Linked DNA regions of Canis lupus familiaris. The protein of the gene in region 2 binds, or shares a complex with, the protein of the main gene of each other region. Links are inferred from orthologs where the notes say so. Each region holds a gene or a part of one and is shown on either strand. Other genes may lie near its edges. The genes, in order: IL22 and IL22RA2.

The links.
Region 1: the proteins of IL22RA2 (region 2) and IL22 are in contact, whole or in part, in a crystal structure (PDB 3G9V), measured with the Homo sapiens proteins. The link is inferred for Canis lupus familiaris from reciprocal best matches to the Homo sapiens genes IL22RA2 and IL22. Residues at the interface, in NP_443194.1 of Homo sapiens: Lys65, Ile66, Tyr99, Gly100, Gln101, Arg102, Trp104, Gln128, Glu129, Pro130, Tyr132, Met148, Pro150, Arg151, Thr153, Trp155, Trp156, Glu157, Glu200, Pro246, Met247, Leu248, Asp249, Arg250; in NP_065386.1 of Homo sapiens: Phe47, Gln48, Pro50, Thr53, Asn54, Phe57, Met58, Lys61, Ser64, Leu65, Asp67, Asn69, Thr70, Asp71, Val72, Arg73, Leu74, Lys162, Gly165, Glu166, Asp168, Leu169, Met172, Arg175, Asn176.

What each region holds. Positions count from the first base shown.
Region 1 is NC_049231.1:10,850,445-10,854,778, forward strand, and holds the start of IL22 (interleukin-22), read right to left. Parts: upstream 3,052-4,334; coding exon 2,866-3,051; intron 2,449-2,865; coding exon 2,383-2,448; intron 2,259-2,382; coding exon 2,115-2,258; intron 1,192-2,114; coding exon 1,126-1,191; intron 1-1,125. UniProt on the Homo sapiens protein: Cytokine that plays a critical role in modulating tissue responses during inflammation. Plays an essential role in the regeneration of epithelial cells to maintain barrier function after injury and for the prevention of further tissue damage.
Region 2 is NC_049222.1:29,859,374-29,863,736, forward strand, and holds the start of IL22RA2 (interleukin-22 receptor subunit alpha-2), read right to left. Parts: upstream 2,803-4,363; 5' UTR 2,414-2,802; coding exon 2,353-2,413; intron 1-2,352. UniProt on the Homo sapiens protein: Isoform 2 is a receptor for IL22. Binds to IL22, prevents interaction with the functional IL-22R complex and blocks the activity of IL22 (in vitro). May play an important role as an IL22 antagonist in the regulation of inflammatory responses.

The DNA.
Region 1 (4,334 bases), on a different chromosome or scaffold from region 2:
AAGACTACAAAGCCTTCGATTATCAAAGAAATGGTTAGATTCATTAAATCATGATCAGCAAGAAATAATTTTTAAAAGAAACATCAAGGTGGAAAGAAGGGGATGATTAAGGTTACACCTGTTATTAAAAATTCCAATAGCTAGAACCTTCATGTTTCTGAGGTTTGTTACCTGCTTGCAAAAGCATCACTTTCGCTGCTAGTAATCATTCCTCTGGTTTTTGAATGAGTCACAATTGCTAGTCTGAGCCTTCTACTATTGTTCCTTTATCCAAATAGGCCATGTGACAGTATCATTCTCTGTACAAATGCACACTAGCCTAACCAGATAGATGCTCACTGGGGATTTGTTGAGTGAAGAAGGAGACCAGAAAGGAAAGGGAAAAAAGAGAGGAAGAGAAGAGTATTTCCAGTTCAGACTTCCATTCACTCTAATAAATCCATTCCATTTGGAACTGCATAAAAGAAATTGGGGGTTGCTCATTCTTGCTTTTAAATTAAAATCAATAGCTTCTAGGTATTATATTATGATAATTAAATATAAGTATCAATAATTCTAAAAATTTACATCATATATGTGCAACTCTTTTGTTATGGTTGTTCTGGGTTTATTTCTCCAAGTTTTAAGTCATCAAATCAATGGCTTCAAAAATCACCTCAAATAAATTTGTCCCCAAGTACTTTCCTGTTTTTGAACAAGTGCTTGTTTGGATTACGTGAATCAGTAGGAATTTCAAATTTCCTAAAGAATTAACACTAAAACTAACACAAATTGCTGCTAGAAAGAGTGCTGGAGGGGATTCAAGAGACCTGCATTCTAGCCCTGGCTCTACGGCTAGTCATGCCCAGAACATGGGGTGAAGAGATTAGATAATCTTATTTCCCAGTCAATTCTAGAATTCTATGATTTGCAAAATTTTAAAATTTATCTATAAATATATATAATAAATATATATAAAATAAATACAAAATAAATAGTATATACAAATAAATATATATATAATCAACCTGATGTAGGCAAATAAAGCAAAAAATTACATGTGGGGGGAAAAAAGAAAAGGTAGGAAAGAAAAACAATATTTGTCTCTCCTATTTAATGGTTAGAGTTAATAGTTATTAGTAGTACCTTTTGCACTGTGTCCTTCAGCTTTTGCACATTTCTCTGGATATGCTGGTCATCGTTCTCAATATGCTACAAAATGAAAACCAGAGCACTTATTTTAACACTGTCGTGCTGAAGCTTTATGAACCTCAGCGTCCCTAACTGAGGTGTGTTACAATGCACCTGGAGTTAAAGTTCTTAGCAATTTTGCCCACAATGACCTAGATTTCACCAGTGACCTAGATTTTCAAAGCTCTTGAATTCCCTTGGACACCAAAATCCAGTCATTTCCCTTACATGGGACCTCTCTTCACCCTTGAGAAATCCTACTGAGGTTTACGTTTGTGGAAAGAGTAGAGTGGTTTATGCAAATTCTGTGAAGAATAAAACCCTAACTCTACCCCTCAAAAAAATGCATGCTCAGAACAAGAAACGGACATAAAATGTCTTGTGTGAACAGTAGGCCCTCCTCAATAAATACTAGGTCCCTTCACTCTGCCCACTCCACTGCAGTCTTTTCATAATTTTAAATATTCAGAGCCATCAAGGTCACACACCTCTGACTTTTGTCCCTTCTCGTGACATCCAAAGGGCAACCATCTTTGCCCACCCAGCACTGAACATTAAATCTTCCCATTAGCCTCTCTTCTTCCCACCTGTTCCATCTATACTCCAGGGACCCATTCCCACACCTAGGCATTTTTTCCCTACAGGTCTCAACACCTTTCTTGTCTCACATAACTTGAGATGCTTTTTCCCAAGGACAAAAGAGCTTTCTCTGCTCTTGTCTTTCAGACACTCTTCGTCATCATATGTTCAAAATATGATTCAATTAAAGCAAAAACAAACATTCTGTGATTCCAAATGACTCTCACGGTGGTGTTGCTGAGGCACCTCTTGCTGCCAGCGTGGGAAGGGGCAGTGAGGGTTTGCAGAGAAGAGCTCTAAAGGAAAGAAGCAAGGCAAGACAGTCAAGTAGGAGAGGGTAGAGTTAGGCGGGGACAAAAACTCACACATTGGCTTAGCTTGTTGCTGAGCCTGGCCAGGAAGGGCACCACCTCCTGCATATAGGGCTGAAACCTATCGGATTGGGGGAGCAGCACTTCTTCAAGGGTAAAGTTCAGCACCTCCTTCATCAGATAGCAGCGCTCTCCCATCTGCAGGCAAAAGTGAAACAGCAGGGGTCATGTTGAGGGGCATCCAGAAGACCCAAAGCATCATCACCACCATCCAAACAACCAGGGATGACACACTGCCCCGCTCATCATGACTATGGCTTACATTGACTCCGTGGAACAGTTTCTCCCCAATGAGACGAACATCTGTGTTGTTATCTGCCAAACTAGCCTGGAAGAGAAGAAAAGACTAAGTGCCTTTTCATCTGTGATGAAAAGTCTGTGAGTAGAGATGCACTCTATCCACTCTCCCCAGAGCAGCCCCATGAAGACTCAAGAATTCAGATGTGTGCATGAGTTTAAAATAATGCACACAGGAGTAAGGAGAAACACAGTCAGAAGGGCTAATAAATGGCCTTTGGGGAGTAAAATTCAACGAACATATATCATCAAGGCCAACATGGAGGGTCTTCTGGTAAAGCCTAATCTCCAAAGAGTCTCTAAGGAGACATAGAAAATAATCTGTGGTCTACCAGTGAGGAGAGACAATGCATTCTTACAGATCTTAGTAGTGTTCTGGAAAACGTTTTAGGAACTATCAGGTTCCAAGGAGAGAAGATATGAAAGACAGAGAGACCGAGATGAGTACCTCCTTAGCCAGCATGAAGGTGCGGTTGGTGATATAGGGCTGCTGGAAGTTGGACTTGTCAAGTCTGCAGTGAGAGCTGATGGGCAGCGCTGCCCCTCCCTGCACCCACAGGGCAATGAGAAGGAGGCAGCTGGCGGCCAGAGTTCCCATAAGGGTAGAGCTCACAGATTTCTGCAGGGCAGCCATCGCAGACAGCTCTAACTGGAACTAATGGCGACTAGAAAAGAAACCTGGTATCAAGAGAACAAGAAGCAAAAGCATAAAGGCAAACAATTAGGTATCAAGAAGTATCACGTCAAACGAACCCATCACACCAAGTTTGCTGAAACACTTACCTGTTTCGATGATTCTGCTTGTGAGGGGAAGGCAAAAGTTGCTGCTTTTATAGCCCCCAGAATACACATTTTTTTTTTTGTAAAAAATGACATCAGCAATTATCTAATTTCCAGTACTGTCTTCTGAGAACTACCTAACCACCACAGGAGCCCACAAAACGCCACCTCCTATTTTTCCCACCTTGAAATGCGAGTGTTTCCCTAAAACGTCACTATTAGGGCCCCAAAGGTGTTTTCACAGATAAATCCCAGAAATTTTCTAAACCCTACTTATTTTTCAAAGAAAGCAATTGCTTTGTCTTCGTGGATTCCAGATTCGGCATAATATTTTTTCATCTTCTGTAGTAGCTGAGTAAACAGTTTGGTCATAGGCTCATTTTCCTTCCAGCTTCATAGATTCTTATCTCATTAAAGGTGATCAGAAATAAAGGACTCGTGTCCTATATCCTCTGCCTTAAAATAAATAGTGATAATAGCTTGGAGATAATTCCACTTTTAAAAATAACCTTATAAATTTTTAATACACTTTTATGTACATTTAATGTACATAAAAATATACACATATATTTTTAATCCTGAGGAAGACTTGCATTTTTAAAATAACAGTGTTGGCTAATCTAAGCACTCATTTTATCCCATTCTGTGACTTTTTAAAGTGATCTTAATAATTATGGTGGATGCAAATATATCTTAAAATTTTCTTTGAAGGATACCTGGCTAGCTCAGTCAGAGGAGCATGTGACTCTTAATTCCTGGCATCATAAGGCTGAGTCCTACATTGGGTGTAGAGGTTACTTTAAAAAAAATTTTATTAAATTATAATCAGTATCAATTTAAATTTGGAAATACTAATGCTTAGCAATCTAATCGCTACCTTTCTTAACATACAAGTGTTTTAAGAATATAGTAGATATAATAGCTCATCTTGAAATATTACCTGTGCTCATTCAAGTTAAGTAACACACAAGTTAAGTCTCGAAATAATATTTCCAAAAAATCTTTCTAACAACTTTTATCATGTATATGGATGCCTAAGGAAGAGAACCTGGCAATATAGTAGTTATATCTTGATTTTGAGTTATTAAAAATGGATTAAATTCTAAATAACACCTAAAAACTAGACTGGGAAACCTC
Region 2 (4,363 bases):
ATGTGAGTGACTCTTCGCTTGGGTTCCTGCCTTGTGATGTGTGATGGAATGATTCTGTTTTCTCTTGTTAATCTGCCTTTTTGGTAATGAGTCCCAGCTGAAAGCCTAAGATGGGCAGGGGTGAAGAAGTTCTGCCTCCCAGCAAGTGTGGGGTTTCTGATCAGGGATAGGAAGTTGGGCAGAAGGAGAGGGCGTCAGGAAACACATCCTCATCATTTCCCGACTTCATCTTCTACCCCACCCCCCCTGACTCCAGGGTGGCCCCCTTCCTCCTGCTCCGCCACGCCGGGTGTGCTCCCACCTGCGGGTCCCTGCACCGGTCCTAGCTCTCCCCTGGAATCCCACACGCTTCATTTCTTTACCACCTTCAAGCCTTTGCTAAAAAATCTTTGAGAAGTGAGAACATACTTCTGAGCTCACAATCTCAGTTCTGAACATTCAAGCTTTGTTTTATTCTATTGAAGGGAGCTGTTTGGTTTTTGTTTGCTTTTATTTTTATTTTTTGGAACTCCTTCAGTGCATCAAATGGTGGTGTGTACTTGGAAAGAGTCTACTGCCACCATTGATTTTGCTCACCAAAATCACTACCGGATCTTGTCCTATGCAGTACAGAAAAATTCCAGAAGTCTCAGGACGTGATGAACACAATTTCCTGGAGCCTGTGCCACCCCAGAGATGGTCAGCTCAATGTCCTTTATCCCCTCTGTCTCTGGATTTCTTCTCTCACTTTTGTAACACCACCACTGCTACCACCAATAATAACAGATCACCGGGTACCAGCCACTGAGGGCCTGTACCTGTGTTAACTCACTTAATCTGCCCTACTCTTCTATGAAAAAAGTACTATTGAAGTCTCCCTCTGACAGACAAAATTGGTGAAGCGGATTTTGTACCAGGCACCTGACTCCAGAGCCTGCTGCTGTCACCCCTCCACTGCAGAAACCAAGAACAAAGCCTCTGGAGAGACGTGGAAAAAAAGCAATGAGCGTCTGAGGATATTCTTTCTCCTCCTTTTCATCTCCGCCTCCTCTGGCTGGCACTCACTGATCACTGAGCATATATGAACATGAAACATGTATCAGGCACTGTGTGGAAAGCTTTACACAGTATCCCATATTCATGACCACCAAATAAGGTAGGAATTTTTATTAGTACATTTTACACATGGGGAAGCTGAGCCTTCAGAACATTGTGGATCTTGCCCAAAGTTCCAGGCCTGTAGCAAGTAGAGCCAGAATCATTTTGTTAGTGCTTGAATTCCTGCTATATTTTGCTAAACAAGTCCTTTCTATTGCCAAGGACCAAAGGTATAGTCCACTCAAATTCACACCTTTCTTTCTTTCTTTCTTTCTTTCTTTCTTTCTTTCTTTCTTTCTTTCTTTCTTTCTTTCTTTCTTTCTTTCTTTCTTCTTTCTTTCTTTCTTTCTTTCTTTCTCTTTCTTTCTTTCTTTCTTTCTTTCTTTCTTTCTTTCTTTCTTTCTTTCTTTCTTTCTTTCTTCTTTTTTTTAATTTTATTTATTTGTTCATGAGAGACACAGAGAAAGAAGCAAAGACATAGGCAGAGGGAGAAGCAGGCTCCTCGTGGGGAGCCCAATGCGAGATCAATACTAGGACCTTGGGATCATGACCTGAGTTGAAGGCAGATGCTCAACCACTGAGCCAACCTCGTGCCCCACAAATCCACTCATTTCTGAAAGATGAGGGCTTGAATTGTTTTCATGTTATCAGTCTCTGAGCAATTGTATAGTCTTGGGAACATTTGTTAAGTCACGCTGACAGGTAGCTATCTTTCACTGGGGGAATGTAATGGCCTTGATCAGAGGTATCTTGGGGTGACAAGATATTCACTGCTCTTGAAAAGTTCTCTGTGAAGACCAACAGCAAATTCTCAAATGAAGTTTATGGTCTCCATTCTGTGCCAGGCACTGCTCTAAGCACTGAGTACATATTAACTCGTAATCCTCACGGCGACTTACAATCCCCATTCTACAGACTAGGAAATTAAGGCACAGGGTAGATAAAGTCAATTGCCCTAAGTTTCCTAGATAGTAAATGGCAGATCTGGGATCCAGGCTCAGGTAGTCAGGCAAGGAGCCTGCTCATAACTACTGTGCTGTAGTTTCCCTTGAAGTTTCCTGAGCGCCTCCTCTTTAGCAGCTCCTTGTGAAGTCCACGTGGAGTTACGCAGGCTGCACATAGAAATTGACCCCATGTCTGTTCTGATCATTTCACAACAGAAGAAAGCTGAAAATTTGACAAAGCCCAGAAAAGCAGTGGTGCCATTTCCAACAGCCCCTTGAGCAGACTCAGATGACAAAATCATGAGCAATTAAAAAGAAGTGAAGCACTTACCTACTACAGCAGTCAGGAAGAGACTGAAGAGGAAGCCTAGAAAGCAGTGTTTAGGCATCATGGTTGGTGTGCGACTGTCAGGCAGCCAGTGGTCCCTTCACTGAGAGCACAGCTCTGGACAGAAGAGGAAACTGAAGAATCCTCATGCTGGACATCCCCTCGTGGGTTTAACCATGGTTCCCTGAAGCAACTATAATGTTTTTTTATTTTAGGTTTATTATAAAAGTATAAAAATCCCTTCAAAAATGTTTGCCATAAGTCACTTCAAGGTAGAAGCTTATTTTTGTTGGGACTAGGACTTTGTTAGCCTTGAAAGGGCAAAACATGGGGATCCCTAGGTGGCTCAGCGGTTTAGCGCTTGCCTTCGGCCGGGGCATGATCCTGGAGTGCTGGGTTCGAGTCCCATGTCGGGCTCCCTGCGTGGAGCCTGCTTCTCCCTCTGCCTGTGTCTTTGCCTCTCTCTCTCTCTCTCTCTGTGTGTCTCTCGTGAATAAATAAAATCTTAAAAAAAAAAAAAGAAAGAGCAAAACACTGAGGATTGGCAGATCAGAGGGCAGGGTAGGGCAGGAATTGTGCAAGGCATGAAAAGGTGAGGGAACAAAACAGCTCGTAAGGCCCTCAGGGAATCTAGCCCAGGGAGGCAGAGACACTGCCAGCCACCACCACTTAGCTGGCAAAGCGATTCTGAGAAATGTGCTTGCCAGTGGCAGCTATCTGGACTCCTGGCAGTGGTTCAAGCTGGTAGGATCTCTGGTTGATTCTTCCTTTTCCTCCCTTCTTGGAAGCTCTCTCTGACTAACTTCCTTGGTGTTTACCTCATGGCCTCCACACCCCCCTGGCTCTCCACTCGCCTCCCTGCCCTACTCATCCATCTGTCTTGCTAATCCTTGGTGGCCCAGGGCCGCAGTCACTAAAGTCTTCCTTTTCCATTTCCACCCTCCATTCCAGCCATCTGAAAGATTTTGAGCTGTCAAACTGAGTCCTTAAAAGGTTGAATGTGGAGAACAATAATTTTGAGCCACATCGTATCTTTTTCATATCTTCTTTGAAATCTGATCGAACTAGGTCATCTATGCTTCACCTATGATTCATTATATTCATTTTTTCTTACCAATTTTTAAACCACATGTTTGTAGAGGCACTATAATTGTACATGAAAGCACAAGAAGAAAGTAATATTTTTTTTTCGAATGAGGATTTTTAGGTCAAAAGAGGAAATGCCTCTGTAGTCTCTCTTAAGTTCTTGGTAGACCAGCCTGTGTAGTAAGTACTAGAGAGGGCTGCTAAGCAGTTCTCATTCATGCCTTCGCTCAACAACATTGAACAAACATTTGCGGCTGATTATTCTCACAGAAAGGGTGCAGCAGCAGTTAAGGTAGACATTGTCTCTACCTTCCAAAGCCTACTTCAAAAGGGAGGTAGACATAACTGCCAGAGCACTATGGACAGGTTTGTGAAAATAACGCCAGGCTTTCCAGCACCTCCAGGCTGTGTCCGACTTCTTAACCAGACCCCTCATCTCTTCCAGGTGGGATTTCCATTGCTCAGAGTGAACCAACGCTTTCAAAGAAGAAACATGCAACAGATCTTAGGCTCTCTTTGCACCCTCTTGGTGCTTCCTGTCTTCTAGGCTTTTCAGCAGCATCTACTTACTGATGTTACCCAGTGAACTCTAGACTTTGCATTAACCTTGGCTATTTTTTTTTTTTTAAGTAGGCTCCATGCCCAGCATGGAGCCCAGTGTGGAGCTTGAACTCACAACCCTGAGATCAAGACCTGAGCTGAGATCAGGAGTTGTATACCCAAACAGTGGAGCCACCCCAGTGCCCCACATTAATGTTGGCTTTTAAGTGGGGGGTGATAACCTGTGTTTGAACACCTTTGACACCAAAGCTCTTGTTTTGAAGCAACTCCATTGCTCCAAATTCCAATTAAGAAAAAAAAAAAAGAAAGCTATTTTCATTCAAAGTTTAATAAGTAGTGCAGCAGGCAATAAAATTAGGGTTTGCAC